7 linked regions of the Callithrix jacchus genome follow. The protein of the gene in region 7 purifies or fractionates together with the protein of the main gene of each other region. This does not show direct contact. Links are inferred from orthologs where the notes say so. Each region holds a gene or a part of one and is shown on either strand. Other genes may lie near its edges.

Region 1 (2,499 bases), on a different chromosome or scaffold from region 7:
TTTGCCAGAAATCCCTGCTAGCTCTGAAACTGGCTTTGGGCTGAATGGAGTTTTACAGGCTGAAAGGAACCTTTGGTTTGCTCTGTAGTGCTGCATGTCTTAAGATGTAGCTGTTTTTTCATTTGTGAAATTAAGCAGATATAGGTAAGATGACCTATTCCAAAGTGAGAAACTAGAAAACCAGTCTTAGCTTACAGTTTTGGGGATGAGGGACAACTAAAATATTACCACTCCATAGCCAAGAGAGAAACATTTTTTTGGTGTCAGCACCAACCAGCTAGTAAGGCAGCTGAGGGCCAGGGCCAAGGGCTGGGCTGCCGGACACACACACAGCTCTGAGCCTCTGGGCCATCCCTTGTAAGAACTTTGTTGAGGTGGGAGTAGTCAGAGACCTGTGCTATGGAGCCTGCTCTCTACGCCAGTCAGGTCTGGGTGAGACAAGATAAACGTTCCTTAATGTGCCCCTGAATGAATAAAAGGTTCCTCCCAAATGCAGCAGCAGGCTAACAGGTGGATTTCAAGGCTATGCCCTACCCTGTCTCCCTATATCCCAGCTGTTGGAGGGTCTAGGTCTTCCTGGCTAATCCACAATCCAGGAAAGGGCTGATTTGGCAGTGAAGGGCCAAATAAGAAAAGATTCTCATACTGGTTTGTGCAAATGGGTTTTTTTATTTCCACATTTATATCACAAGGTGTCCACTTACTGGACCAAATAGCAAAGTTGCTCCCTTCTGCGTCCTGAGAACACAGAAGTCTATGTACTGTACATTCACTAAGGCTCCTTGTTTTTGCAAATCGCGTTTATGACAAATAACCATAAGGCAAACGAATCTAAAGGAATGGTTATGAGTGTTTCCAGCGTACAGACAGGTCTGCCCTCTCGCCCCACAGTACAGCATAAAACCAGTAGCACCCACAGTAACTTTTGTGTTGTTTAGGGGGGACTCTAGAAAGGTGAAGTTTTCTAGATGTGTACAGGAAGGGAAAAAAGGAAAGGGGGGAAGAAAGGAAAAGTTTGTTTGGTGGTCTGATGGAAGAGGAGTTAAACCCAAAAAAACTTAAATTTCTGCAGCATTTCTGTAAATACTGGGTTATAACTGAAACCAGATATAAACAGGTGGCTGCCCATGGAGTTGGGGTCATATTGGTTAGCCAGCTGGCCTCTCTGCCCAATGCCAGTGGCTCGCCACAGCTGAGGAGCTTCTGGCACACGATGGACAACACTGGCCTGACAGTGGCTGGGTAGGGGCAAACAGAGGCTGTGGCATGGCCCACTGTCTCTCAGACACTCGGGGCCAAATTAAAGAACAGGAAATGCAAGAGAGATGAGATGCGTGCTTCTGTTGCTGTGTTAAAGGTAACCTCTCCCACAGGTTTTCTGTGCCTGCCTGCAACTGAGGTCCCAGCATTCAGGTGCTGGAAAGTGTCCGCACCTCTTCAGGGGTGAGGGACTAACGCTTTTTATAGCTGGTTTGCTATAGAGTTCTGAACTCACTTTGCCGTCCTTCCTTCCGCACGGTCCTTCCTTCGCAATTTTGTTAGTAAACTGGTAGCAGCATTTCACAAAAGGAGAGTTTTGAGGGAAGGGTGCACAGAGAGACCACATGACTCCCGCCCCCTCCCTCCTGCCCAGGCCGGGCTCCCCGAGTTCCCAGCCGCAGGAGGCAGCTGGGCCCTGGCCACCCGCCCACCTGCCTGCCCGCCTGGCTTCTGCAAGATGGGAATGCACTTTGTGGCTGACGGGCCGGTCAGTCTAAGCAGACATAAGGCAGAATGTTCAAGCGCCCATCGTCACCGTGAGGATCGAGCGATATGCACTGCGTCCAGTCATACCAGTTACCCTGTGTGTCCTGACACCCGTTCACCCCCGGCCACTGGCTGGCCTGGATTCTGTTTAGATCGTCCTGTGTGACCTCCCGGGTCAGCCCAGGGAGGTCCGTGGGCGGGCTTTGAGGCACCAGCACGTGCAGCTGCCTGGCCCCTCGCCGGGTGCTCTCCTCCTGCTTCAGGTACTCAGACATGAAGTGGTGAGCCCCCGGGGTCTGTGCGCCCGAAGATGAGAGCAGGCTGCTCTGCCGGCTCAGGTAGGACTGGATGATCTCATTGCGTGACAGCTCCTTCCAGTTCGTCTGTTCGAAGGGGCTCTGGAGGCTGGCCTTGGCCTCCTGCTTGTCCAGCTCTGTCCTGGACGGCTGCTCCATGTGCACAGGGCTGTCTGCCCGCACTGGCTCTTTCTGGGTCAGAGGTTTGATCTGTCTTGTCATGGGGTCAAAGGTGAGCTTCCGCTCTTTTAACCGGACAGGCTTGACGCCCGCCTCGGCCACCTGCCCGTCCAAGTTAACCGTGTAGTCTCGAGGCCGGTACCTCTTCTTCTTTTTACTGTCCGAACCCCCAGAGGAGGCAGCATCACTGTCCGCCTTGGAGGAGTCTGGGGAGAAGCCTGCCCGGGACAGGAGGGGCTCGGCCGGGGATAGCCCAGCCTTGCAGCCTGGCCCTGCC
Region 2 (4,396 bases), on a different chromosome or scaffold from region 7:
TCGAGACCATCCTGGTCAACATGGTAAAACCCCATTTCTACTAATACAAAAAGAACTTAACTGGGCATGGTGGCACACGCCTGTAGTACCAGCTACTCGGGAGGCTGAGGCAGGAGAATTGCTTCAACCCAGGAGGCAGAGGTTGCGGTGAGCCAAGAGCATGCCATTGCACTCCAATCTGGGTAACGAGCAAAACTCCGTCTCAAAAAAAAAAAAAAAAAAAAAAAAAAAGATTTGAACACTGGTTGGGCACATGATCTTGACCAGTACACTTAACTTAAGCTTCAACTTCTGTAAAAAAGCACCCACCTTGTAAAATCACTGTGGGTCTCTGCACATTACCTGGCCCATAGTAACTACTCAGTCAATGCAGGCTTCTATTGTTATGACTATAAATGACTCCCTTGCCCTCTGAGTCACACAGGGCCAGATTGCCATACAATTTTAAAGTGAAGCACAAGAAGTAAAAGTTACTGGCCAGGCATGGTGGCTCACGCCTGTAATCCTAGTGCTTTGGGAGGCTGAGGTGGGCTGACTGAGCTCAGGGGTTCAAGGCCAGCCTGGGCAACATGGCAAAACCCCATCTCTACCATAAAAAAAAAAAAATTAGGCAGCCGTGGTGGCACATGCCTTTAGCCCCAACTACTCAGGAGGCTGAGGCAGGAGAATCGCTTGAACCCGGGAGACAGAGGTTGCAGTGAGCCAAGATCGTGCCACTGTACTCTGGGTTAAAGAGCAAAATTGTCTCAAAAAAAAAAAAAAACAAAAACAAAAAGTAAAGTAACTTAGCTGAAGGCACAGAGTTATCAAGTGGAGCCAGGACCCAACGACATCTTCCAAGAGACTACCCCACTGGCTCCCCTATGTATGGTCTCACCTTGTTGACCTGCGTGACAACAGCATCCACGACTTCTCCTTTAAAGGGCCGGAAAACAATGGCCTTGTACTTAACTGGATAAAGGACGAAGCCTCGGCCTGGCTGGATCACACCAGCACCGATATTGTCAATGGTGGTTACAGCGATTACAAAGCCATACCTGCAAGGAGGAGGAGAAACAAACGGCATTTTGTGTCCATGAGCCTCTAAAGATTCTGCAGTAAAAGTCACTGAGCTTTTGGGAGGAGGGTCAAGGAGAACAAAAGGACAAGTTGCTAGCACCTCAGTTACCAGAGCTTAATGACCAAGAGAAGACAGGACACAGATCAGTATGTATTAGGCCAAATGCTGCTCTGATAATTTCACAATAAATGTCCAAGATGGCTGGAGACCTTGAGCCAACAGGGGCCAATCTTTGGGATGCCTGAGAATCATCTTATTAAAATGCAGACTCTCTGGCCCAGCACGGTGGCTCATGTCTGTAACCCCAGCACTTTGGGAGGCCGAGGCAGGTGGATCACCTGAGGCCAGGAGTTTGAGACCAGCCTGGCCAACATGGAGAAACTCCATCTCTACTAAAAATACAAAACTTAAGGCCGGGCACAGTGGCTCACGCCTATAATCCCAGCACTTTGGGATGCTGAGGCGGGTGGATCACGAGGTCAAGAGATCGAGACCATCCTGGTCAACATGGTGAAACCCCGTCTCTACTAAAAATACAAAAATTAGCTGGGCATGGTGGCGCGTGCCTGTAGTCCCAGCTACCCGGGAGGTTGAGGCAGGAGAATTGCTTGAACCCAGGAGGCGGAGGTTGCAGTGAGCCAAGATCACACCATTGTACTACAGCCTGGGTAACAAGAGCAAAACTCCATCACAAGAAAAAAAAAACAAAACAAAAATTAGCTGGATGTGGTTATGCACATCTGTAATCCCAGCTACTTGGGAGGCTGAGGCAGAATGGTTTGAACCCGGGAGGCAGAAGTTGCAGTGAGCCGAGATCGTGCCACTGGACTCTAGCCTGGGTGAGAGTGAGACTTCCATCTCAAAAAAGAAAAAATAAGCAGATTCTCAGGTCTGCCCCAGAGAATCTTGATTCTGTAGGAAACAATGAGGTTCAGGAATTTGCATGTTCAAGAACCACCCCAGGTTTTTCTGATGCTGGAGACCCAAGTAACTCCACTGCCCTGGGCTGGGTCATTAATACCACCCTGGGAGAGGCTCCTCTGCACAAAGCCCAGAGATGTTCAAGTCCCAAGCTGCTTCCTTCCTCCCCCAACTCGATCTGCCTTTTCTGGTCATTCATTCAGAATATATATTGAGGCCCATGGTGTGTGGTCCCTGGGCACAGGGGATAAGAGAAAACCAGCAGAATGACAGAGGGAGAGCAGACACAAGAACAGTAATTACACTGTGGACTCCACGAGGGCTGGTCTCATTCTATCTTGTTCTCAGGGCCCAACACGGGTCCTGGCACACAGCAAGGATTTTTTTAACATGTTTGAGGAGTAAATGAATGATTAATTTCAACGGAGGGAAGGAAGTCTTATCGGCCAGCATTGCAGAGGGAGTCCTGGGAACCCAAAGCAGGAAACAACTGGCAGCCTGAGAGAGTGAGAGAGGTCCCCAGAGTGGGTGGCAGGACGAGCAGGAGCTGGGGAGGGGTTGCAGGTATAGCGCCTCGTGTGTGCGATCTGGCTGCGCGGTGAAGTCGGCACTCACTTCCCGGTGCAGGTCCCCTCCACCTCGGTGAAAAGCTTCTGCTTCACCGTGTTGAGCAAATTGGGGCCGAAGTAGCGCGGGTGCAGCAGGATTTCGTGCTCTAGGGAGATCTGCGGAGAAAAGTGGGATGGCGACCAGGCCAGGCGCTGGGAGGTTATCGGGCAAGAAGGGGCCCCTCGCGCCGGCGCCCGGCTTTGCTCCTCCTTCCCACCCAGCCCTTGCTGCCACCCTGAGCCCTGCTCACGTGGTAGAACATCTTCCCAGAGCAGTCTGCGAGGCTAAATCCACACCTCTTGCCGCCTCCGGGAATCCACCGGAAGCACAGATAGCCTCAGCAACCCCAGTTCCGGGCCGGCCGCGACAGAGGGAGGAACTCCACCCCCTTCGCGGGTTTGATTGGGCCTCGCTGTCGTGGGCGGGAACCACTAAAGCCACGCCCCTCGCCCGCCCAACCTGGGCCTCAAAAGGCAATTCTCTTAATGCACAAACTATAACAACCACTCAGTAAATACTTATAACGAGATTAATTAGTGAAAGAATCCATAAGTCAAGCGCTATAACAGAGTGCAGCAAATCGATTCAGCAAATATATATCTACACATGTTTGTTGGAGGCCCAAGTACTTCACTGCCCTGGGCAGAGAGAGAGTCTCTGTTGTCCAGGCTGGAGTGCACTAGCGGGATCATAGCTCACTGGAGCCTCCAACTCGTGGCCCCAAGCGATCCTCCCATCTCAGCCTCCCAAGTAGTTGGGGCAGCAGGCGTGCCACCACGCCCAGCTAATTTTTAAAAATTTTTTTTTGTACAGACCGAGTCTCTGTGTTGCCCAGGCTGGTCTCCAACTCCTGAGTTCAAGTGATCTTCCCGCTTCAACCTCCCAAGATGTTGGAATTATAGACATGAGCCACCACACCAGACCTTTGTCTTTCTTTTTTCTTTTCTAAGAGAAGGGATCAGTCCGGGCGCGGTGGCTCACGCCTGTAATCCTAGCACTTTGGGAGGCCGAGACAGGTGGATCACCTGAGGTCAGGAGTTCAAGACCAGCCTGACCATCATGGTGAAACCCCAACTTGAAAAAAAAGGGGGGGGCTGGGCGCGGTGGCTCACGCCTGTAATTCCAGCACACTCTGGGAGGCCAAAGCGGGTGGATCACAAGGTCAAGAGATCGAGACCATCCTGGCCAACATAGTGAAACCCCGTCTCTACTAAATACAAAAAAAATTAGCCGGGCATGTTGGCACATGCCTGTAATCCCAGCTACTTGGGAGGCTGAGACAGGAGAATCGTTTGAACCCAGGAGGCAGAGGTTGCGGTGAGCTGAGAATGCGCCATTGCACTCCAGCCTGGTTAACAAGAGTGAAACTCCATCTCAAAAAAAAAAAAATTAGCTGGGCGCAGTGGCAGGCGCCTGTAATCTCAGCTACTCTGGTGGTTGAGGAAGGAGAATCGCTTGAGCCTGGGAGGAGGAGGTTGCAGTGAGCTGAGATTGTGCCACTGCACTCAAGGCTGGGCGGCAGAGCACAACTCCATCTCAAAAAAAAAAAAGTTGTTGGAATCCCAAAAACCACTTTAAGCCTCGAGAGAGATGTGACTTCGAGTCACATACAGTTTACAATTTCTGTTCTCAGATTATAGATCAACTCACTTTCTTATTTGTCTTGTTCTCTACATTGACTAGAAAGACTTAAATGACCTCAGGGACAAAAAAAACCTCCTGCCTCCTTAATGAATGACCCTTGTTATAGATTAACTTGCCTTTTGTTGTTCTGCTTTGCTTAGACTACATGACAGAAAATCCATG
Region 3 (4,155 bases), on a different chromosome or scaffold from region 7:
ATGAATAAAAGTCTTTCCTTATAAGAGCCACAGCTTCTTATCCAGTTTTGAGATTTAAATCAGCTTAGATCATTAACATTTAATTATCAATGTATTAATAAAATAAAATTTAGGGTTACTATTTTATTATGTTTTATTCTGAGAGGTTGTGAAATTTTTTGAGACGGAGTTTCGCTCATTACCCAGGCTGGAGTGCAATGGCTCGATCTCGGCTCACCACAACCTCTGCCTCCTGGGTTCAGGCAATTCTCCTGCCTCAGCCTCCTGAGTAGCTGGGACTATAGGCGCACGCCACCATGCCCAGCTAATTTTTTGTATTTTTAGTAGAGACAGGGTTTCACCTTGTTGACCAGGATGGTCTAGATCTCTTGACCTCCTGATTCACGCGCCTCAGCCTCCCAAAGTCCTGGGATTATAGGCATGAGCCACCATGCCCGGCCTGACATTTTCTATTTGTACCTTCTTGACTCCTTTATAACACTTAAGTACTTTGAAAATCAGTTTTCTGATCAAATCTTCTCTCCTCCAAAAACTACAATGAAGAGTACAGATTTATGGACAATAACTGTGATAGCAAAATGTTTTTAATAAACATCAATGAAAATACAGTTAAAAGTTCAAAAACTTTCTGTGACAAGCCAATAAACTGTTACGAATTTTATAGCTAACACTGGTGTTCCTGAAATTTGAAACACAGTACTTTTCAAGAACTGTGGAAAAGCTTGATTATGACAAAAATAACAGGCAGTGTTGTATTTTTGGTTTCTCTGGAAACTTAAACTCTGAATAGCAAGATTACAGCAAATGTAGCTCAGGATATTCTGAAAAATATAGCCCAAGGAAATGGCCAGTTAAAATGTGAATACATTTTAATTCCACCTTTCCAGTGGAGAAAATCACTAGACTAAAAGAGATCCAAGGGTTGGATGAGTAACCATAGTTGAAAATGCTGATACAAATGTTAGCAATAATAACTTGAGGTGAAATAGAGCCCAGTAACTGATGTATTGAAAGTATGTTCGGGTCTGACTAGAATACAGCAATAAAAGTTGAGAGATTAATAAAGGGCAAAAGAAAGAAACTTTAGATAAATAAAGAGACTGAGAAAGAACTGACGATTCAAAAACATACTTCACTGTGATGCAAGCAAATTAAGGAGAAGGATGAAAAATACAAGGTGAATTCTTTCACAATAGCAGGAAAATTCTGACAGAGGATTTCTTGGTAGAATGTGTAGATGAACTAGAACAGGTATGAAGTTCTGAAAGAAGAAACATTTGCATAAATGTGACTTACTTATCCAGCCACACTAACTCTATTTAAAAGCAATACAATTTCCAAAACTTTCTTGCTCAAAGCTCAAATTTACACAATGCCACCTCTAAGAGGCAGGATGCTAGCCTAAACTAAAATGTCCCTTATGTCTGTTCTTACTACCTTCTTCTCTGGCTTGAGAAATGTTTTGATTTGTAAAAGTACTGGCCAAGACAACAAAATAAAGACATGAATCATGTCACAATAGAATTTTATATATGTTTACTTATGTTTATTAATGCATCATCTGCCTTAATAATTTCAGTTAAAAAATGATGGTATGACGGTTTAAAGCTGGTTCAATCATTATTTTATAAGCTTATTTATCACGAGTGAAAACAGAAGACTATTAAAAATAGCTAAAAAGGGAACATGTGTCATAGTGTTGAATGCTTCTGTAACTGTTGGTAAGGCTTGTTATCTAAGTCTGATGCAGAATTCTTAATGGCACTGAAACAGTTCTTTTCTCAGCCACATGGTATCCACTGGTGCTACGAGTCTGGAATAGACTGGCTATGGGTACCACTTCTTGTCTTCAGCTGTGACTGTGCAATATCAGCAAGCGCACTTTGTATCTTTTCCAGAAGCATGTCTCCTCGATAAACAACATCTTCCAGACATGTAGCAGCTTCATGGTTTTCTTCTTCTAGCTTATATAAGCTAGCAGCCTTTATAAGACAGAAATTTTGAAATCTTTAGAGTTAACGAGGGAAGCTGTCACAGAGGTACTTATTTTTAAATCTGGATGACTTTGCAATTATTGTGTTTTTCAGCAAAGAAATTCTAAAAATCAGATAACTTCTAAGAATTTTCCTCATTTGAATTATTAAAAAGAATGAATTTTCAATTAGAAATCTCTAGATATCTGTAAGTGACTCCCTTCCACACTACATTTGGGCACCATTGTTCTACTCCACATCTAGAATGCCACCCTCCTCTCATTCTTCACTAGGAAAAGAGACACAATTGAGGAAATAAGAGGTTTCCTTATAATGGAAAATTGAATATTATAACAAAAGGTGCTATGATTTGAATGTGTCCCCTCCAAAATTCATACGTTATGTGTCCCCTCCAAAATTCATACGTTAAAATCTAATCCCCAATGTGAAGGTATTAAGAAGGAAAGGGCCTTTAAGAGGATATTAAGTCATGAAGGCAAAGCTCTCATAGAATTAGTGCCCTCATAAAATGGCTTGAGGTTGAAGAGGGAATTCTTGCTCTTTTGTCCTTCTGCCTTCTGCCATGTGAGGAAATAGAAAGAAGGCCCTCAACATGGCCTTAAACATGGCCCTAAACATAGCACTGTGTTAAATAAAAATGTCTTACTCATGCACAATGAGTAATAAATGTCTTGATCTTGGACCTCCCAGCCTACAGAAACTGTGAGAAAATAAATTTCTGTTCTTTATAAATTATTGTCTCAGGTATTCTGTTACAGCAGCACAAATGGACACAGACAAAAGGTATTAAACCTTGCTCCTTTAATTCAAAATTCTCTATTACTGGTAAAATTCTCAAAGGAATAAAGACTTACCTGTAAAGCAGCTGTAGACTCTTCACTGGGTAGGGAATCTATCAAAACATCAATGTCTTTTGCTGTTCGTGCAATCAGTGCTGCAAAAAGCTGGGCATACTCTAGAGAAAGATAATGCTAGATCAGGTCATTAGAAAACCTCAAGTTTTCAGAACAAATTTTAAGTTAGTGAAACTGGAAACTTCACATAGCTTTTTCTGCACTAGGATTCTAATGATTAAAATATACACAAATCCTATTACACATTTAGCTCAAATTGGGAATTAAGCATAATTTTTGGAAACAAAATAAGCCGAATTGCTCAATAAATCTAATTTGAAAGGATTACAATAAATGTGAGAGTCAAAGAGAAGCTAAGAAAACCAGTTTACCTTCTGTAGGATTAGCTGGCTGGTCTTTGTTAATTGCTGTCTGAATATTACTAAAAGACGCAGGAGGACCACACTGCTGCAATACTCCAATGGCATTACAAAACTGATCTGCAAGCTTAGGCCAAAGAAAACATGTCAAGGTTAGGAAGGACTTATCAATTTTAAGGACTTTATTGATAACAGCAACAACAATAAATTTCTTTAATCATAATCTCTGAGTAAGGGAATAAAACAGAAAGGAATAATTGCTGATAAAATAAGCCAGTTACTAATAACGTTAATTAAACATTTTAATTCTGCAAAGAAACTAAGTTTGGTATCAACCCAGTTGAAACAGTTGAAATAAAAATAATATTTCTTTTCTTTTGATAGTAAAATGGTAAGAGAACACTAGCCAATATTTATTATAAGCCAAAAGTAAAGACTTTTGGGGAACAGTGATGGAAAAGAGCAGTGATGGAAATCTGACTTGCAAATATCTACCTATGGCATTGCGTCAAATGAAAATTTATTATTCATGTACAAAGTATATAATTCCTTTTCTGAAACTGGAGTAGTTACAAGCATAAAGAAATAGTGGGGAAAAGGCTGCTCAGAAAAGCACCTTAAGTAATCAGAAACATATTTGTTCAAGACTCAAGTTTTAAACTCTTGTGCGCTAAAAGTACTCCTTAAGTACTTCTAAAGATTGAGAACAGCAATTCCTTATCATCTCCAAATTAAAAACGCCTATCCTCCCCACCAATTTCTCTCACCTAGTCTTGACCTCTCAAACCTCCTATTTCTAATAAGCATTTGCACTGGGTTTCTCTGCCATTGTTCAATTACAGAACTCAAAGGCAACTGTTTTCTCTGTTTAATTTGTATTGACAGTCTCTAAGTCAACCAGTCTAACCACAGATTCTTACTTTCCTTTGATCTTCAAATTCTACTAAT
Region 4 (3,775 bases), about 39 Mb from region 7:
GGTACCCCCCCAATTCAGTGTTCGCTTTCCCAAGTGAGCACAAGTATTTGAGGCTCCTCATCTTTGTTCTAAAGTCAAGAGACCAATTAGTAATTAACCACTAGTTGTTGTGCCGTGATTAGGTCAAGCGAGGTCACAGTGATTCTTAAAGCCACCCTGCAAAACATGTATACAGGTATTTCCTTTCCTGCAGAATTTAAGAACCTTTATGTAGTTCCTTCCTGGTGATTTAAACAAGTCACTGACTCCGCTACTCTCACTACATAGGTAAGAGTGGTAGAGTAGTTGATCTGAGAAACAGGTTCCAGGAGATGGCCTTGCCCTACTATATGTCAGGAAGAGCTAGCCTTAGAATTCAGTATACTTAGTGACCCACCCCTACCCCATGCCCCAATGCCTTCTTTATTTGGTCTAAAGCACCTAACTTTTCCATTATTAATCAGCTGATTATACTAAATGCTTAAAAAAGAAACACCTTAAAATCCATATGGAAATCAAAGTAGAACACTTCAGGTTTAACAGTGATAGTCTATTAACAATAAAAAGTTAGTTTGATTAAAAAGCATACTAACAGTTCTAGATGCTACCATAATAAAGCTAGATAGGAAGAGTTTTCATTTTTTTTGTCTTCACTGTACATAAGAAATACATTTTTTATATATATATATATATATATATATCTTCAGAGCCTCGTCTGTATCCAGTTTTTCATTTCCCCGATGTGTTATTTTGCTGTTGCTGCTCTGCCAAGGCTTGCTGAAGGCGCATCCGCTTCCGGGAATAGTGCTGCCAGTGTAGAATCTGCTGTTCATCAATAAATTTCGCACACTGGGCATTCACCAGCTCCTTTCGGAAGTGTTCATACTGGAGCAGCTCTAACATGTGTAAACACTGAGGGTACCTGGGTTTAAGTTTATAAGTGAATGAACAACATAATTTAAGTAGTAAATAATGCCAAGGTCTAATTCAGTTATTCTCTTAAAAATGATCTTGTAGCCTACCATTTCTATAACATTAACTTAGTACACTCTAGTAGCATAGGGTTTTTCCCCTGCATAGTCATCAAAAGTCAGTGTTCAGCAAAATTTTCAAGTGAGAAGGTTTAAGTTCAGAAAGATTAAATTAACTTGCTCAAGACTACAGAACACAGTAACTGGTAAGCAGAGTGAAAATTTAGGGACAAACCATGCTATTCCCTTCTAGTGCTTTCCAAGGTGAAGAACATGAACATATTTTAGTAATTATGTGTTTAATTGATAGTTACTGGTTTTTCCATCAATAGTGATAAAAACACAATTTCAGTTTGAAAGAGGACTATGCATATACGTTGTACTCTTGTCCACAGGGGTATACCAATTCTGAAATTAGGTATACTCTAGGATTGGACAAGTAAATATACTGTGGATATGGAGAGCCAAATTTCTGGCTACCAGAAAAGGACTTATAGACAAGTAAAGGAAAAAGGCTAGAACGAACCCTGTGTTACCGAGCTGGTATTGAAAACAACATGTACTTAGGGCTTTTAATATATAGAGACATAGACAGATATATATGTGTGTGCATGTATACACATACATACATATATAGAGTTCTTGAGCTTTGTGTACTGAGAGGGCCTAGAAGCAATGACACTGTGGTACTAATGAACACACAGTGCCCCGTTTCCAAGGAGCAGGTTTCCTTGGAGAAAAGTCTGATTCAGGGATAAGACAGGGAAAGGACAAGATGAGCCTGGAACATTACGTAATGCTAGAAGAAAAAGTGCTAAAAATTCTTGGGAGGATCAAAAGTATTCAGGAGCCAACTTGAAGGGACTCCTAATGGCCAAATCTGGAATACTCAGAGCTTGAAAATACATAATTAAAATTCACAGAATAAAAATAAGAATCCAAAAGTCCATACTAAATGGATGCAAATTTCTTTAATAAAAGAATAAATAAAAAACAAGAAAAAGTACTTCCCTACAATCGAATTCCAAACTAATAAATGGAGAATGAAAGATTTAGAAAATCACAATGAAAACTGTTTCCTCAAAAGCAAGTATCTTCAAATGATGCTAAAATTAATGGGCAAAAATATATGTAATATATTTACATAGTCTCAAAGGATTTCCCCATAAGATACATTTTAAATATACAAGGAAAAATAGTAACTTGATATGGAGAAACCTAGAAGGTACCACCCTCAACCAAGTTATCAAAATTAATATCACCAGTTGTGGAACAAATAGACTTCATGTGACTGTAGATATATGACAGATACAAAATCATTTCTGTCATAGTCATGGCAAAGAAAAGACCACTGAGATTAAAGGAGACTAAGAAAACATGACAATAAATGCAACATGCAGGCCTAGACTGGATCCTGTACTGCATACAGCACACCAGCTGGACAACTGGCAAAATCTGACCTCTGTAGATTAGGTAATAAATTCATATTAATGTTCTGATTTTTGCTGATTGTATTGTTAAACATCTGGAATATCTGGATGAAGAAAATACAAGAATTCTCTTTATTATTTTTTCAGGTATTTTGTAAGTAAAATTATTTCAAGTTGAAAATATATAAAAGCATTTAAAAGAGACAAAATACATTGAAATATAGGAAGTATGCAGATAAAGCCAAAGTTGTAGAAGTGATATGCAAATGACTAGTTTGGAAAATAGGATGCTAGAGCAATGCTTCTCAAACTTTAATGTGTGTATGAATCACTTCTTAAAATGCAGACTGACTCCTTAGGTCTGCAGTGGGGCATGAGCTCTGCATTTCTAAAAATCTCCCAAATGCAACCAATGCTACTGATCTGAACACCACACTGAATAGAGGGCTTAGTACCATGCTTCGAAGAGAGTAACTTCCAAGGCAGTAAAGGTTTGCTATCTACACACTAAAAGTACACAATTGCTCTAATTGCTGGCTGCTTATGCTAGAATGCTCTATTCACACCTGCCCTGGCTAATTCCCTTTCATGACAGCACCAGTAGTTAAAAGGACCAGGATTTAAGGTCCAGCCTGGTAGCCTTTAACAAGGTACTTAACCTCTCTAAAGTTCAGCTAGCTTCTTCAGCTGTAAAATAATGTGACAACCAAGTCTCAAATAGCATTTGGTCAATAACTAGAATTTAGACAGGCAGCGTTTATATCAGAATGTATTAGACGACAATAAAGAATCATACTCTGGATAGGCTACAAGTCAACAAGATGAAACAGAAGCAGTAGAAAAGGAAAGTTCTGCATTTGGTGTTTTAAAAAATAAACAAGATAGGGAGAACCCAACAGCATTGATGAAAGTAAGAACTGAAGGATTTCAGTTGACATTAATGCACCCAGCAAGTCAACAATGTGATCCTCTCCCCACCCCACCCCAAGAGTAATATAAACGTTAAGTTTAATTAATAGAGGTGTATGTCCACATAAAGAAAAGAAAGAACCTCTGACCCACTGTACTCTGACCACATCTGAAGGCCTGTGTTTAGTTCTTGGCTGAACTGCATAAGGTACAACTGCCAAATATCCAAAGGAGGGAACCTGAATTCATGAGAAGTCTGGGCACCATGGCACAATGGCTGAAGGGAGTTGAGAAAAAGAGACATAAGAGAGGTGTTATAGTGGCAGCTACTGGTTAGCAATGAACCAAGCCAAGTGGTAGAAAGTCTCTTCCACCAGGTGGAAAGCAGCTAGTAGTGGCAGCTGCTCTCAGCATCAGCCAGTTGTTGATTGGAAGAATTAAGATCTATGGTTGCTAAATCTTCCAGATTTTAAAGAGTTGCTGGAA
Region 5 (4,349 bases), on a different chromosome or scaffold from region 7:
TCAGGTGTTTGAGACCAGCCTGGCCAACATGGTGAAACCTCATCTCTACTAAACATACAAGAAAATTAGCCAGATGTTGTAGTGCATGCCTGTAATCTCAGTACTTGAGGCTGAGGCAGGAGAATTGCTTGAACCCAGAGGGCAGAGGTTAAAAAGAGCCAAGATCGCACCCACTGCACTCCAGCTTGGGCAGCAAGAGCAAAACTCTGTCTTAAAAAAAAAATTGTCACTACTCTATCAGAAAAAGCACTGATAAACAATGCTGCTAATGTGCCTTATTTTGAAATATAAAAGAATCCCTAACGGATGCTACAAGGGACAGAAGTCCTAGGATTCTGAAAAAGTTGTTAAAGGTTACCACAGAGAGCCCTTTGTGGGTAACCCCCATATAGGCACCGAGGAATGAGAGCTAAGTAGAACCCTGGCACAGTTAGGGCTTGAGGAATATCTCACTTTATAGTGTTACCACTCAGCCATTTCCTTTTATATAATCCTTTATACAGTCATATATTAGTTTATAGAAATAGGGCTTGACAAATCCCTTTATATAATCTTCTCTATATAATCATATAATAGTTAATAGTATGAGTGCCTAAAGAATATTTCCCTACATGTATACCTATATCTTAGTTCATATCAGAGGAATGCGTAGAGTGGACACAGTACATAGTATGAATTAAGGAATAAGCAGCTTATAATCAGAGGAATGCCTAAGAGCAGACACTGTGCAGAGCATGATTTAAGGGAAAAACAGTTATGCCAGGACAAGAATCCATGGCCCAGGCGGCAGCGTTCAGTATCGTAAAGATACCCGCTGTATGGCAGGCTTGGGACGAGAGCCACTCCTCCTCATGAAGGAGTTGTAGGACCTTGCTCCCGTTCTTGTGGAAGGCTGCCCTCAGAACGGCAATCCACCTTGGTGACTGTGAACTTTATCAGCTCTTGCTACTGTGCTGCTTGAAAAGCATCTTCCCATAGGACCCATTGGAAGCTGCCAGAAGGTGGCGGTAACCCTGACAGCTCTGTCACTGCTATGTGACTTAAAGCATCCTCCTATAAATCTTCCTAGAAGGAGTTTGACCATAGATAGAAGTATTGCACACTGAGCACGGCCCACCTTCATACCTCGGTGACCTAATGGGGGTGGACCCCTTACTGCACACGGCCCTTGCCTTTGTGGGAACGGGCCCTTTGCTGTGCACTGTCCACCTCCTGGCCTAGGTGACCTCATGGGGGTGGACCCCATGTTTTATTGCTCACGACCCTATCTCTATCCTTAAAGATGATTTCACTCACTGGCCTGCCCCCTAACCTACACAATAAATACTCATGCTTCTGGACATTCGGGGCCTCGCCTGACTCTGCTTCTAGGTGGTGTGCCCCCCTCTCCACCCTGAGCCCAGCTGCGTTTTTGTTGTACTTCTGTGTCCTGTCTCTTTATTTCTCGGATCCTGCGCCTCAGCACAGCATAAGGCTCACCCCACGACCCTGTGGGGCCATCAGCCCTACATCAGGCTCCCAACGTGCCCTACATCCTTTCCCTGGAGCTGCCTTTTCCATTTGAGAGCAGGGGTGGCAGGGCACAATGGCTCATGTCTGTAATGCCAACACTTTGGGAGACCAAAGCAGGAGGCTCACTTCAGTTCAGAAATTCAAAACCCACTTGTGCAAAATAGCAAGACCCAATTTCTTTTTTTTTTTTTTTAAAGAAAGAGCAAAGGGTTCCAGGGTTCTACGCTGCATCCGTTCCATTTCCATCTTTCACGTATCTTGCTTCCATTAAGGAACACAGGAGGAGGAGGATGTCAACTGTGGGAAACAAGAGTGCAATCACTGAGAAACCCGCGAGAAACGGGGCTACCAGGAGAAGTATTTACCCCACACACGCTTTTATATGAGCTACAGCCACTGGCTTCAGATATCCTGGCCCCCGGGATTCTCCCACAGGAAAGATGCTCACACCTCCTGCGATAAGAAAAAAAAATGTCTGGGACCTAGTACCTTACAACTAATGCCTCCGCGAGCGTTGTACCTTTCCCTGCCACCTCATCTTCCAACTGAGACTTAAAACATATGAAAGATAAAAACTCCATTGAAACTAGACCAACCATGGAATTAAACATAGTGAGAAGCAGGTCCTAAAGAGTGCCTGGAACCACGATCTCCTTCTTATCAATAGCCTCTTTTTTCCTCTAGACCCAAGATCTTAAAATGGGCAAATTACAAACAGACACCAGCTGGTCTAACTGCATTTGATGGCTGAGACAAGGGTAGGCGAAAATCTCAAAAAAAAAAAAAAAAAATACTGTCTCCTGATCGCTTTTAACCTACTCCCTCCAACCCTGTCTGCAGGTAGGTCCTAATCCAAAGTCCCTATTTCCAACCTTGAGGTCCAAGTGCAGACAGTACTATGGCCTCACGGGAAGGAAGATGTACCCATAAGGGAAGAAGGTACATAACCATTGATAGGTCCCTGGTATAAAACCTTTGCTCTGCCGCCTTCCAAGAGGTAAGAGCGCATCTCCGAGGAAAAAGGCCCAGGGAACCCGCGGCCCGCACGGTATCCTCTTATCCAGATAACCCGAGGACATTTCGCTCAGCTCCCAGAGGACGGCGGGCCATGGTCAAGGACCTCTTCCCGGCCCTTCACAACTCCAAATCCCGCCCCACAAAACCCCTGCAGTCCTACCAAGTCACTCCCATGGTGTCGGGACAGGAAGGTGGCAGGATCACACAGTAGAAATGCGTCGTTCCCAGTCCGCCCACAGGAACTGCTTCAGTTCCCCAACACAGGCTTCGGTCGCAGAAGGGATTCCGGAAATACGTAAAAACAGAGCGCCGGGTCCACGCCTTCCCCAAGGAATGGGGCGTGTCTTGGCACCCGTCGGTGACGCCTCCAGTGACATAATCAGTGGATTCCCGCTCTCATGTTTCTAGCTCCGGAAATTCCCGGTTGGCTGAGCACTCTAGGCTTAGATCCATGAAGCTAGAAGAACGAGACTTAGACTGCACTATTGAGAGACGCCAACGTTAAAGGAAGTAAATGTATTTGGGAGTCCAGCTCCGGAACCCAGGAGCTCTTTTAGTGGGAGGGGCGGTGCTGATAGCGCTTCTGGCCTCCGATAGCTAGAGGGCGCTGTGATCGCAGCGTGGCCTCTTGGGAGGTGGGAGTTCACCCAAGTGTATTCTGGCCTTTTCGTCGTCCCCACGTGCGAACCTTCCCGGCAGTATTTTCAAGAAAAATGCCCAAGTTCAAGGCCACCCGTGGGGCCGGGGGTCAGGAAAAACATGCGCCCCTGGCTGAGCAGATCCTAGCTGGGAATGCGTTGCGGGCAGGGGTCCGGGAGAAGCGGCGGGGTCGTGGCACCGGAGAAGAGGAGGAAGAGTATGTGGGGCCTCGGCTGAGCCGACGGATTTTGCAGCAAGCACGGCAGCAACAGGAGGAGCTCGAGGCCGAGCATGGGACTGGGGACAAGCCCGCGGCGCCGCAGGAACGCACCACGCGGCTGGGTGAGTGTCTGGGATGAGGTCCGAACAAGACAATGGCTAGCAGCGGGGCCGGGGGCGGGGGGGAGGACAGCTAAAAAGTGTCCGGCAGGGGACTTGCAAAAGTAATGGAATGGGAGACTAAGCAATGGCCAGAGACCTCCGCGCCCACTCCTAGTTTTAGGCACTCCCTTCTAGGCACCCCCGAAGTTAGGCCAATAGGAAGTAATCGCTCGCGCCACTAAGTGTTCTTAGCATTTATCCATTGGTTTTGTAAATATTTATGGAAAACCTACTACGAGCTTTGCGCTATGCTCGAAGTTCAATCGAATATTTGAGTACAGAAGTAACAACATACAGACACGTCTGATTTAAGGACCTTACAGTCAAGCCCAGCGGAGAGACAATTACGTAGACTCTTAGAATAATATATTTCCATGATAAAATATCGTTTCCCTGGTGACAGTAGCATTGGTCTTGAGAAGCTTCTCCGATTGTAGGACCTTTAAGCTGAGAACTGAAAAACGAATGGGAAGTGTAATGAGCAGAAAACACGTTTCGCAGACAAAAAGGGAGAGAAATGAATTGACGTTTGATAGGTTCTTACTAGGGAGGGAGTGCTTACCTCTGAGGTGCTTCATCCACTTCTCAGATCTCATCTAAAGCAATATTTGACACAATTGAATAGTGGCCTCCTGCCCACAGTATCCTTACTTGGGTTATAAGACATCAACACTGCTGTTTCACTGCCACCTCACTTCTCAATATCGTTGGCTGACTCTTACTTGCAACCTCTTATCCTCAGTCCTCTGACCTCTTCTCTTCAGATATTCTCTAGTGCTGTCAGGTTTCATGGTTTCAAT
Region 6 (4,230 bases), on a different chromosome or scaffold from region 7:
GTAATGGTGACGGGAGAAACATGGACAGATTTCATACATCTTTTGGAGGTAGAGCTAACAGGACCGGCTGATGGATTTAATCAATGGTGTATGAAAACAGCATGTTATGTCAACCTTTTCGTGTATGCTGTAAGTGAGACATAGAGAGTTGAGAACCTCTGGTCTAAGTAAAAGCTGGTTTCAGGTGGGGTAAGGGTGGTGCTCACTGGAGTGGGGCTATGGCAGGAGATGTGGGATAAGCCTTTCTCTGTTCTTGCAAATCTGGGAGTATGAGTCTACAGAAAGCTTTATAAGGCTTGATTTAGGGACAGGAGTACAGGGGAGGTAGAAGTCTCTAAGACTTAATCATGTTCTGTAACAGTCCAGGACAAGATGGAAACCTATGTCCTCTCCAATCGTGGAAAAAAGGCCAAAGAAAGCCCACACTCATTCTGTCTGGTTAAAGATGTGGAAATTAGAGCCCTGTCCTGCTACAAAGAAGGTGCATTCCTGGTATACTACATTAGAATCCAGCCCCATTTCCCCACAGAAATAAAATTTCCATAGGGGTTAGAGCCTACATTATTAGTGGCAATACACTTTTCAGGTAAACAGAATTAACAGGCTGGTGTGGAAATCTCAAGACTCCTATCAACATGGTTCTGCGGGACAATGAGTTCTGAGTTACAAACAGGTTAAGAGAAATCGTTTAGTGCCCGGGCTCGGTGGCTCACACCTGTAATCCCAGCACTCTGAGAGGTTGAGGTGAGTGGATCACAAGGTCAGGAGTTCAAGACCAGCCTGGCCAAGATAGTGAAACCTCATCTCTACTAAAAATACAAAAATTAGCCAGGTATAGTGACAGGTGTTTGTAATCCCAGCTATTCAGGAGGCTGAGGCAGGAGAATCTCTTGAACCTGGAAGGCAAGGGTTGCAGTGAGCCAAGACCATGCCACTACACTCCAGCCTGGGTGACAGAGCGAGACTCTGTCCCAAAAAAAAAAAGAAAAAAGAAAAACGTTTAGCTACAACTTGTGTTTCAACTTTTTAAATTCCTCCAAAGACTACCTCCTCCAATTACATTTTACAAAGTAATAAATATCCTGAAAGGCTACATAATCAGGTTAATAGTTTTAAAAAAAAAAAAACAGGGAGGGATAACATGGGGAGAAACGCCAGATATAGGTGATGGGGAGGAAGGCAGCAAACCACATTGCCATGTATGTACCTATGCAACAATCTTGCATGTTCTTCACATGTGCCCCAAAATCTAAAACGCAATAAAATATGTATTAAAAACAAAACAAAAAAACCCTAAGTTACGAATCCACTGTTTTTAAAGATGCTCAACCTAAAAATATGTAAGGTACATTTGTGAATTTTCTTCTCATTTTCATAAATGCAATCCAGACACAAATTCCATTCAGAAACTGACAAACTTCACAGATCACAGAATCGGTACACATAACTATGTCTGAGTGAGCACACGACACTTTTCTGGAAGTCATTCACATCAGAGCAGTTTCATTCTGTGAAGAAGTTCCAACAATCCACTCACCTTGGCCTCCCAAAGTGGTGGGATTACAGGCATGAGCCACCATACCCGGCCCTAATACAGTTTATTTTAAACAGTGGATTAAACACATAGCCATTTAATTTCTGGTGTCTATGTGTTTTAGGGTTCTCTTCCATCATTAAATATCATGCTGACCTGGTAACTTGGTAGTAATGTTGTGGCAAAGACTAAATTTAACACCATAAAGTGCCGATTATAAGTAGATCAGGTATATTTTAAAATACAATAGATAAGATTTATTCTAAAGCTGTCAAAGAATGTTGGCTACAGAAAAGGTGACATTTGAGCTGGATTCTGAAGGATAAATGAATCATCCACCAAATTGAGGGTAGACTGGGATTTGCACTGAAGATGTGTAAGTCTGGCTAAGGAATTTGAACTTTACCTCACTGGACAATGCAAACCTACCAACGATATAGGTTTTATATCATTTTTCTGCAGTAAAATGATATAACATGCCTTTTAAAACTGGTCTCGGCCAATATAAAAGGATAAAGTGCAGAAGCATGAGGCAATTAAAACTGGGAGGCTGCATTTAAGTAGCAGTTATTAACAGCGGAGTAGATACGAGACGGCAACTCTGAGTCACATTTTAGGAGGTAGAAGAACCAAGATAATTTACCACGCAAGCCAATGTGAGAGAGTCAAGGAAGACTTCAACTTGAGATACTTATCATGAAAAGTAACAGAATATGAAGAGTGACATCTAATTTCGTCTCCTACCTCTGCCACACAACCATCCCAAACAATTTGCAACCCCACCAAGCCAGGCTTTTGCACATGCCGTTCCATCTACCTGCTGCCTAGTGAGTCTGCCAGCTCATGCTTCCCAAGCAGCCCTTTCTTCAGGGTGCCTGTGTGCAGCCCTCTAATAAAACAGGCCCCACTCCAGTTTACACATCTGTCTGTCTCTGGCATCCAGCCTACCCTTCAAGACCCCAGTGGCTGGCACCCAAGGGGCGTTCCATAAATGTTAAGTGGCCGGCCGTGGACGAAGGGGGCTCCGACCGCGCAATTTCTTAATTTCCACGATTACTATCATTATTAAAATTCCCTCTATCGGGAAAAACCGCCGCCCAGAGTGCCAAAGGGCTGCGGACCCCACGTCCAGGACCATCGTGCACCCGAAACTCCCGCGCCGGCCCTCCCCGCCAAGCGCAGAGAACTAGCGCAAATCAAGGGCCGGCCGGGGTCAGTTCCCCGGCCCAGCTCCAGCCCGGCTCTAAGGCTCGAGCCATTACCTAGACAGGACTTCCAAATCCTCAAGCGCAGACAGCAGCCGCTCTCGTGTGCTGTTACCACTTGCCACTCCCAAGCCGCCTCCCAGCCGCTCCTTCTCCTTCTCACCACTCGAAGACGCAGCCATACTCCCGACCGTCCCGCCGCTGGCGCACGCGCAGTGCATGCTGACGCAGGGGCGTGGCGGGTAGGCAGGCTCGGAAGGCAGAAGAGTCACCCAGTGAAGGAATGAAAGCCCTGGCGAGACCGCCCCCTGTGCGCCTGGAGGCGCACTGCGGACACCGGCGCCATCTGCTGGGCCAGCGAGGGCTTTCCGGTAGAAACCTTGGGAGCGACAGCCGAACCGAGAACAAGGGGTAGACCAGAGTCTGATTCTCCTGGGCATAATGTTTTTTTCTTTCTTTTCTTTTCTTTTCTTTTCTTTTCTTTTCTTTTCTTTTTTCTTTTCTTTTCTTTTCTTTTCTTTTCTCTCTTTTCTTTTCTCCTCTCCCCTCCTCCCCTCCCCTCCCTTCTCCCTCCCCCCTCCCCCCTCCCTTCCCCCCTCCCCATCCCTCTCCCTCTTACCTCCCCTCCCCTCCCCCTCCCCATCCCTCTCCCTCTTACCTCCCCTCCCCTCCCCCTCCCCATCCCTCTCCCTCTTCCCTCCCCTCCCCTCCCCCCTCCCCATCCCTCTCCCTCTTCCCTCCCCATCCCTCTCCCTCTTACCTCCCCTCCCCTCCCCCCTCCCCATCCCTCTCCCTCTTCCCTCCCCTCCCCCCTCCCCATCCCTCTCCCTCTCCCTCTTCCCTCCCCTCCCCCCTCCCCATCCCTCTCCCTCTTCCCTCCCCTCCCCTCCCCCCTCCCCATCCCTCTCTCTCTTCCCCTCCCCTCCCCCCTCCCCATCCCTCTCCCTCTTCCCTCCCCTCCCCCCTCCCCATCCCTCTCCCTCTTCCCTCCCCTCCCCTCCCCCCTCCCCACCCCTCTCTCTCTTCCCCTCCCCTCCCCCCTCCCCATCCCTCTCCCTCTTCCCTCCCCTCCCCTCCCCTCCCCTCTCCTCCCCTCCTTTCCTCCTTTCCTTCCTTTTCTCTCTCCCTACCCCCCGCCCTCTCTCTCTCTCTCTTTCCTTCCTTCTTTTTTTTTTTTTTTTTTTGACGGGTTTCACTCTGTTGCCCAGACTGGAGTGCATGGTTGCAATCTCGACTAGCTACAGTCTCCGCCTCTCCGGTTCAAGCGCTTCTCCTGCGTCAGCCTAACGAATAGTTGGGATTACAGGCACGTGCCACGCTTCCAGCTAATTTTTGTATTTTTGGTACAGATAGGGTTTCGCCATGTTGGCCATGCTGGTCTCGAACTCCTGACTTCAAGTGATCCACCCCCCCACCCCCCTTGGCTTCCCAGAATGCTGGGGTTATAGGCGTGAGTACCCATGCCTGGCCCTGGGCCTAGTGTTTCTCAAG
Region 7 (4,449 bases):
TCCAGATATTCCTTCCTAATTGGGAAAGTAACCTTTTAACGATCTGCCAAGTTGGAAGAAAGGTAGTCACCCAGCTGCTTGGGAGTAGGACTGTGGGGACCTGCTTCTTAAACAGACTTCTAAGTAACCTTCCTGTTCTTAGACCCACCTTCACCCTCCCTGTTCCAGAGGGTCCTTGCACTAGAGTTCCTGATATATGGGGGTAGGTCATGTTTAACAAGCCAGCTGCTTAGGAGTTGGCAGATGAATCTGCTCTAGCCATCCACTTTGTGGCAATCTCCTGTCCTGTTCCTTCTGGTTTCATGCTTTTGTATTTTTGAGACAAGGTCTCACTCTGTCGCCCATGCTAGAGTGCAGTGGTGTAATCTGGGCTCAAGTGATCCTCCCACTTCAGCGTCCCACGTAGCCAGGGCTGCAGGCACACACCACCATGCCTGGCTATTTTTTTTTTGTATTTTTTGTTGAGTGAAAGTTTTGCTATGTTTCCCAGGCTGGTCTTGAGCTCCCAGGCTCAAGCAATAGGCTGACCTCAGCCTCCTAAAGTGTTGGGATTACAGGCATGAGCCACTGCATCCAGAGGTTCTATGCTTTTTGTTTGTTTGAAGTCCCTTCTCTGTCCTTTTAGATGGAACAGAGGCAAGCACATGTGATCAACCCACTATGTTTCACAGGTATGCTCTTCAGTACATCCTCCCAACAATCCTATGACATAAGTATTCCCATTTCATAGCTCAGAGAAGCTAAGCTACTTGCCAAGGTCACCCAGTCAGCACATTATAGAGCTATTACATAATTTGACCTATCTTATGAGGTCCACTATAGACATATTAGAGATAAGAAGATTATGGCCTAGAAAGGTTAGGCATTTATATCAAGATTAGAAGGCAAGAAAGTGTCAGTACACAGGTTTGAACCCAGAACCGTCTAACTTCAAAGCCTGTTCTCTCTAGTGAAACTTACTACTACATCTTTAAGGCCACCCAACCCAGTTGCTCTACCAGGGCTCAAGAATCTCTCAGGGATTCAAGAGCTGCCTTTGTGAATGTGTACATTTTATGTTTTCCTTTTTCCACATTTTTTGTAAAACCAGTCAATTGGGGTTAATCTGAATAAACCCTTTATAATCCAGCACTGACCTGGGATTACAGGGGCTGCATATGTATTTCTGTCTGTGATCATTATCACAGGCTCACAAAAACTGAACAGGCTGCCTTACCCTATAAAGAGTATTTTCACACCAAGTGAAGCCAGGGTCTAATGGGAGAATAAAGCCTTTGTAGTTATTTGAAAAGGGGCAGAACAGCATCAGGTCATCCCACAGCAACTGAATCTAGTTTGCTTAAACTCAAAAGAGGCTGGGCCACTAACAGTCGAGACCTTCACGTAAGAAACAATTCCATTTCAGTAAAACAGTGAAGAGCACATTAATGTTCACCTGAATGTTACTGGAATTGTAATTTTCCTTTAATTTACTTTGTTTTGGTCTTTAATGGTTGAATAAGAGTTACAAGCCTAGGGGTTTACAACTAGTATCACGTGGATACACACAGTGCAGTAACATAATGAAAATAATTTACAGCCCAGGCAACGTGGTGAAACCCCATCTCTACAAAAATTCGCTGGGTGCGGTGGCTCATGCCTATGGTTCTGGCTACTTGGGAGCCTAAGGTGAGAGGATGGCTTGAGGCCAGGAGGTTGAGGCTGCAGTGAGCCCAGATCACGCCACTGTACTCCAGTCTGGCTGACAGAGCAAGACCCTGTCTCAAAAATAATAAAAATTTAGGCAAACATGGGGATCAGTGAGACTCTGGCTTTCTTGTTTTTGGCTTTTTCTTTACAGAGTCACTTGGAAAACTCAGGCTACCCTGGATGCTGGCCAAAAGGATGACAGTAATTTCCTTTCGCACTGTTAGAACAGTTAGAACAAAGTCAGTACAGGTAGGTCTAATCATCTGAGGCAACTTCTGTGTCTTTGTTTAGTCTAATGTCTCCCATCACCACTGCTCCCCTCTCAATCTTTTTGAATTATGGGTTATTCCCAATCATGTCTTTTTTTCCTTCTATCTGGTGAAACCTTTGGGGATGAAATGTTGGCCCCTTTTACTGTGTCCATCCCATAGCACCTGGCAGTATCTAACACAGGGAAGATGATGCTTATCTGCTGAGTCTGTTGAAATAAGGAACTAAAGTATTACTAACATTAAAGGTGAGAAAACTGAGCCTTAGAGAGATTTAATTTGCTCAAGATAGCTGGATGTACACTTGAGCCTCTGGACAAACGTCTGCATTTGGTCTCTAAGCTGGCCTTATTCTTAAAGATATCGCACCTCTCAGGGCCCAAATCGTTTGCTTAACTCATGGAATGGCTCTGTGGTATTGGGAAAGGCCTCTTCCCGCTCTGAGCCTGAGTTTTCCTAACTCTGAAACGGGGGCGTGCCCCAGAGCGCCAAGGCCTCCTGCAGCTCTGAAAAGGGTGAGACGAGAAGCTGGAGGGAGTATGAGGTCTGGTCCTCTCCTAGGTTCTTACCATTTGATGATGTTGTGAACCAAAGGTAAAAAGGAGTAGTTCTCTTCCTCCCTCGCGCGGGCCGGTGACTGAGGCCGCGGCGCCGGCGACTGCTGCGGTTGAGGGGCAGCGACCGGCGGCGGCGGCTGAGGAGGCGGCAGCGGCTTGCTGTCGGGCAGCGGCTGGTCGGACGTTGGCGGCAATGCATCCTCCGCCTGTCGCCCGGCTGCCACCCCGGCGGAGGCCATAACGCCGGGGTTAGGTTAGCCCAACCCAGAGGTCGGATCACCGAAAGCGTCGCGGACTGTACACGTCACCACAGTGCGTCCTACAGGGCGGGGTTAGAGCGTGCGCACTAAGCACCCGGTGGGCAAAGGCGCGGAGGCGGGGCGGGAAGGCTGTTGCTAGGCAATGGGCCGCGGTGGGTCCAGGGGGGGTGCCTGGATTTGGGTTGTGAGTCAAGATTGCTAAATGAATAAATAGTGAGAAATAGGGGATTTATTTAAGAAATAACAATCTTCTTTTTTTTTTTTTTTGAGACGGAGTTTCGCTCTTGTTGCCCAGGCTGGAGTGCAATGGTACGATCTCAGCTCACCGTAACCACCGCTTCCCTGGTGAAAGAGATTCTCCTGCCTCAGCCTCCTGAGTAGCTGGGATTACAGGCATGCACCACCATGCTTGGCTAATTTTGTATTTTTAGTAGAGACGGGGTTTCTCCATGTTGGTCAGGCTGGTCTCGAACTCCCATCCTCAGGTGATCCTCCCACTTTGGCCTCCCAAAGTGCTAGGATTACAGTCGTGAGCCACCGCTCCCGGCCAGAAATAACAATCTTCTTATTCCTATTCACACAAACACAGGAAGCCTTGAGATTAGTAAGGCACAGCCTGGCCTAGTACACCCAAGTCTGGAGAAGAACCAGCTGGACCCGCGGGAGGTATGGACTGCACTTACCTGCTGGTTGAGGCCTGGGCTCCGCAGGCACTGGGAATCCAGAGAGTAGGGACCTTCAGGGCCAGTGGCTCCAAACCCCGCCTGGCTCACAGTGCAAGACGTGGAGACCTCCTGCTTAGCTTTAGGGACACAGAGGCAAAGGGATTGCTGTCCCTCCAATGCTGCATAGCCACTGAGATTCTAATAATACAACTCAACACACGTTTAGTATGCACCTGCTGAGTGGCCACTTGTACGTGTGGTTGCAGGGAGGCTGTCCTTGCTTTCAATACAAGGTAGAGGGGATTGGTGCCAGGAATGAATATTATATCCTGGAAGAAAGACAGGTCAGTTACTCTCCATACCCTCGGGCCACTTCCCCAAGCCCCTAGGTCCCAGTTTCCTCACCCCTAAAATCATGTTTAGTTCAGAGTTATGGCAGAGCCTAAACCGCATTCTAACTTCACATATGTGGCTGATCCCAAGAGGTCTTGTTGGCATGAGGGAGGACTCCCTGGGATCATAGGCCAGAGACAGGTTTGTGGTAATGCTTCTCAAAACAAATTTGATATGAGGGCTATGTAATAATTTTCTGGGCAATGGGGACACCCACCAAGCTTAGTGAATAGAAGACATGAGTGGAGAAAGCTGTCAACTGGTGAGCCCATTCTGCTGTAGTCCACCATCGTGGGCAGTACAGAGAGGCAAAGAGGTCCACATCCATGCAGCATAAGGGCAAGGTGGCCAGGGAAAGGATCAGTGCTGACATATCCAGGCATATTGGGAAGCCTGTATGAAGGCAAATCTGTGGGGAGTGGGACATAGAAGGAAGCACTGTTGGGGGCAAGCACTGTATAGGTTCTGTAGTAAAGAGCCTCAGCACAGCTCTCTGCAGCAAGAGCTGCCCACGGTGCCCCAGAGAGAAAGCAAAGGAAAGGAGTGGGTTGCAGGGTTTTCTTCCTTCTAACCATGGACCTCTCCAACTAAGGGAAAGTTCAGGAGTTCTGGTAGA

The links.
Region 1: the proteins of MED9 (region 7) and MED26 purify together in Homo sapiens (affinity purification with mass spectrometry; 6 studies listed by BioGRID and IntAct, with this or other methods). This does not show direct contact. The link is inferred for Callithrix jacchus from reciprocal best matches to the Homo sapiens genes MED9 and MED26.
Region 2: the proteins of MED9 (region 7) and POLR2G purify together in Homo sapiens (affinity purification with mass spectrometry; 3 studies listed by BioGRID and IntAct, with this or other methods). This does not show direct contact. The link is inferred for Callithrix jacchus from reciprocal best matches to the Homo sapiens genes MED9 and POLR2G.
Region 3: the proteins of MED9 (region 7) and MED21 purify together in Homo sapiens (co-immunoprecipitation; 8 studies listed by BioGRID and IntAct, counting the BioPlex papers as one, with this or other methods). This does not show direct contact. The link is inferred for Callithrix jacchus from reciprocal best matches to the Homo sapiens genes MED9 and MED21.
Region 4: the proteins of MED9 (region 7) and MED31 purify together in Homo sapiens (affinity purification with mass spectrometry; 4 studies listed by BioGRID and IntAct, with this or other methods). This does not show direct contact. The link is inferred for Callithrix jacchus from reciprocal best matches to the Homo sapiens genes MED9 and MED31.
Region 5: the proteins of MED9 (region 7) and MED20 purify together in Homo sapiens (affinity purification with mass spectrometry; 6 studies listed by BioGRID and IntAct, with this or other methods). This does not show direct contact. The link is inferred for Callithrix jacchus from reciprocal best matches to the Homo sapiens genes MED9 and MED20.
Region 6: the proteins of MED9 (region 7) and MED4 purify together in Homo sapiens (affinity purification with mass spectrometry; 10 studies listed by BioGRID and IntAct, with this or other methods). This does not show direct contact. The link is inferred for Callithrix jacchus from reciprocal best matches to the Homo sapiens genes MED9 and MED4.

The regions. Positions count from the first base shown.
Region 1 is NC_133523.1:15,191,154-15,193,652, forward strand, and holds the end of MED26 (mediator of RNA polymerase II transcription subunit 26), read right to left. Parts: coding exon 1,749-2,499; 3' UTR 650-1,748; downstream 1-649. UniProt on the Homo sapiens protein: Component of the Mediator complex, a coactivator involved in the regulated transcription of nearly all RNA polymerase II-dependent genes.
Region 2 is NC_133511.1:120,037,436-120,041,831, reverse strand, and holds the start of POLR2G (DNA-directed RNA polymerase II subunit RPB7), read right to left. Parts: upstream 2,924-4,396; 5' UTR 2,853-2,923; coding exon 2,841-2,852; intron 2,707-2,840; coding exon 2,597-2,706; exon of another isoform or gene 2,314-2,596; coding exon of another isoform or gene 2,285-2,313; intron 1,038-2,284; coding exon 878-1,037; intron 1-877. UniProt on the Homo sapiens protein: Core component of RNA polymerase II (Pol II), a DNA-dependent RNA polymerase which synthesizes mRNA precursors and many functional non-coding RNAs using the four ribonucleoside triphosphates as substrates.
Region 3 is NC_133510.1:44,217,497-44,221,651, forward strand, and holds the end of MED21 (mediator of RNA polymerase II transcription subunit 21), read right to left. Parts: intron 3,335-4,155; coding exon 3,220-3,334; intron 2,950-3,219; coding exon 2,849-2,949; intron 1,983-2,848; coding exon 1,806-1,982; 3' UTR 567-1,805; downstream 1-566. UniProt on the Homo sapiens protein: Component of the Mediator complex, a coactivator involved in the regulated transcription of nearly all RNA polymerase II-dependent genes.
Region 4 is NC_133506.1:108,206,869-108,210,643, forward strand, and holds the end of MED31 (mediator of RNA polymerase II transcription subunit 31), read right to left. Parts: intron 902-3,775; coding exon 709-901; 3' UTR 515-708; downstream 1-514. UniProt on the Homo sapiens protein: Component of the Mediator complex, a coactivator involved in the regulated transcription of nearly all RNA polymerase II-dependent genes.
Region 5 is NC_133505.1:50,422,068-50,426,416, forward strand, and holds the start of MED20 (mediator of RNA polymerase II transcription subunit 20), read right to left. Parts: upstream 2,805-4,349; 5' UTR 2,704-2,804; coding exon of another isoform or gene 2,690-2,703; intron 1,810-2,689; 5' UTR 1,759-1,809; coding exon 1,664-1,758; intron 1-1,663. Other genes in the region: BYSL (bystin), read left to right, coding at 3,243-3,510. UniProt on the Homo sapiens protein: Component of the Mediator complex, a coactivator involved in the regulated transcription of nearly all RNA polymerase II-dependent genes.
Region 6 is NC_133502.1:67,843,345-67,847,574, reverse strand, and holds the start of MED4 (mediator of RNA polymerase II transcription subunit 4), read right to left. Parts: upstream 2,959-4,230; 5' UTR 2,922-2,958; coding exon 2,797-2,921; intron 1-2,796. UniProt on the Homo sapiens protein: Component of the Mediator complex, a coactivator involved in the regulated transcription of nearly all RNA polymerase II-dependent genes.
Region 7 is NC_133506.1:69,668,513-69,672,961, forward strand, and holds the start of MED9 (mediator of RNA polymerase II transcription subunit 9), read right to left. Parts: upstream 2,803-4,449; 5' UTR 2,755-2,802; coding exon 2,528-2,754; intron 1-2,527.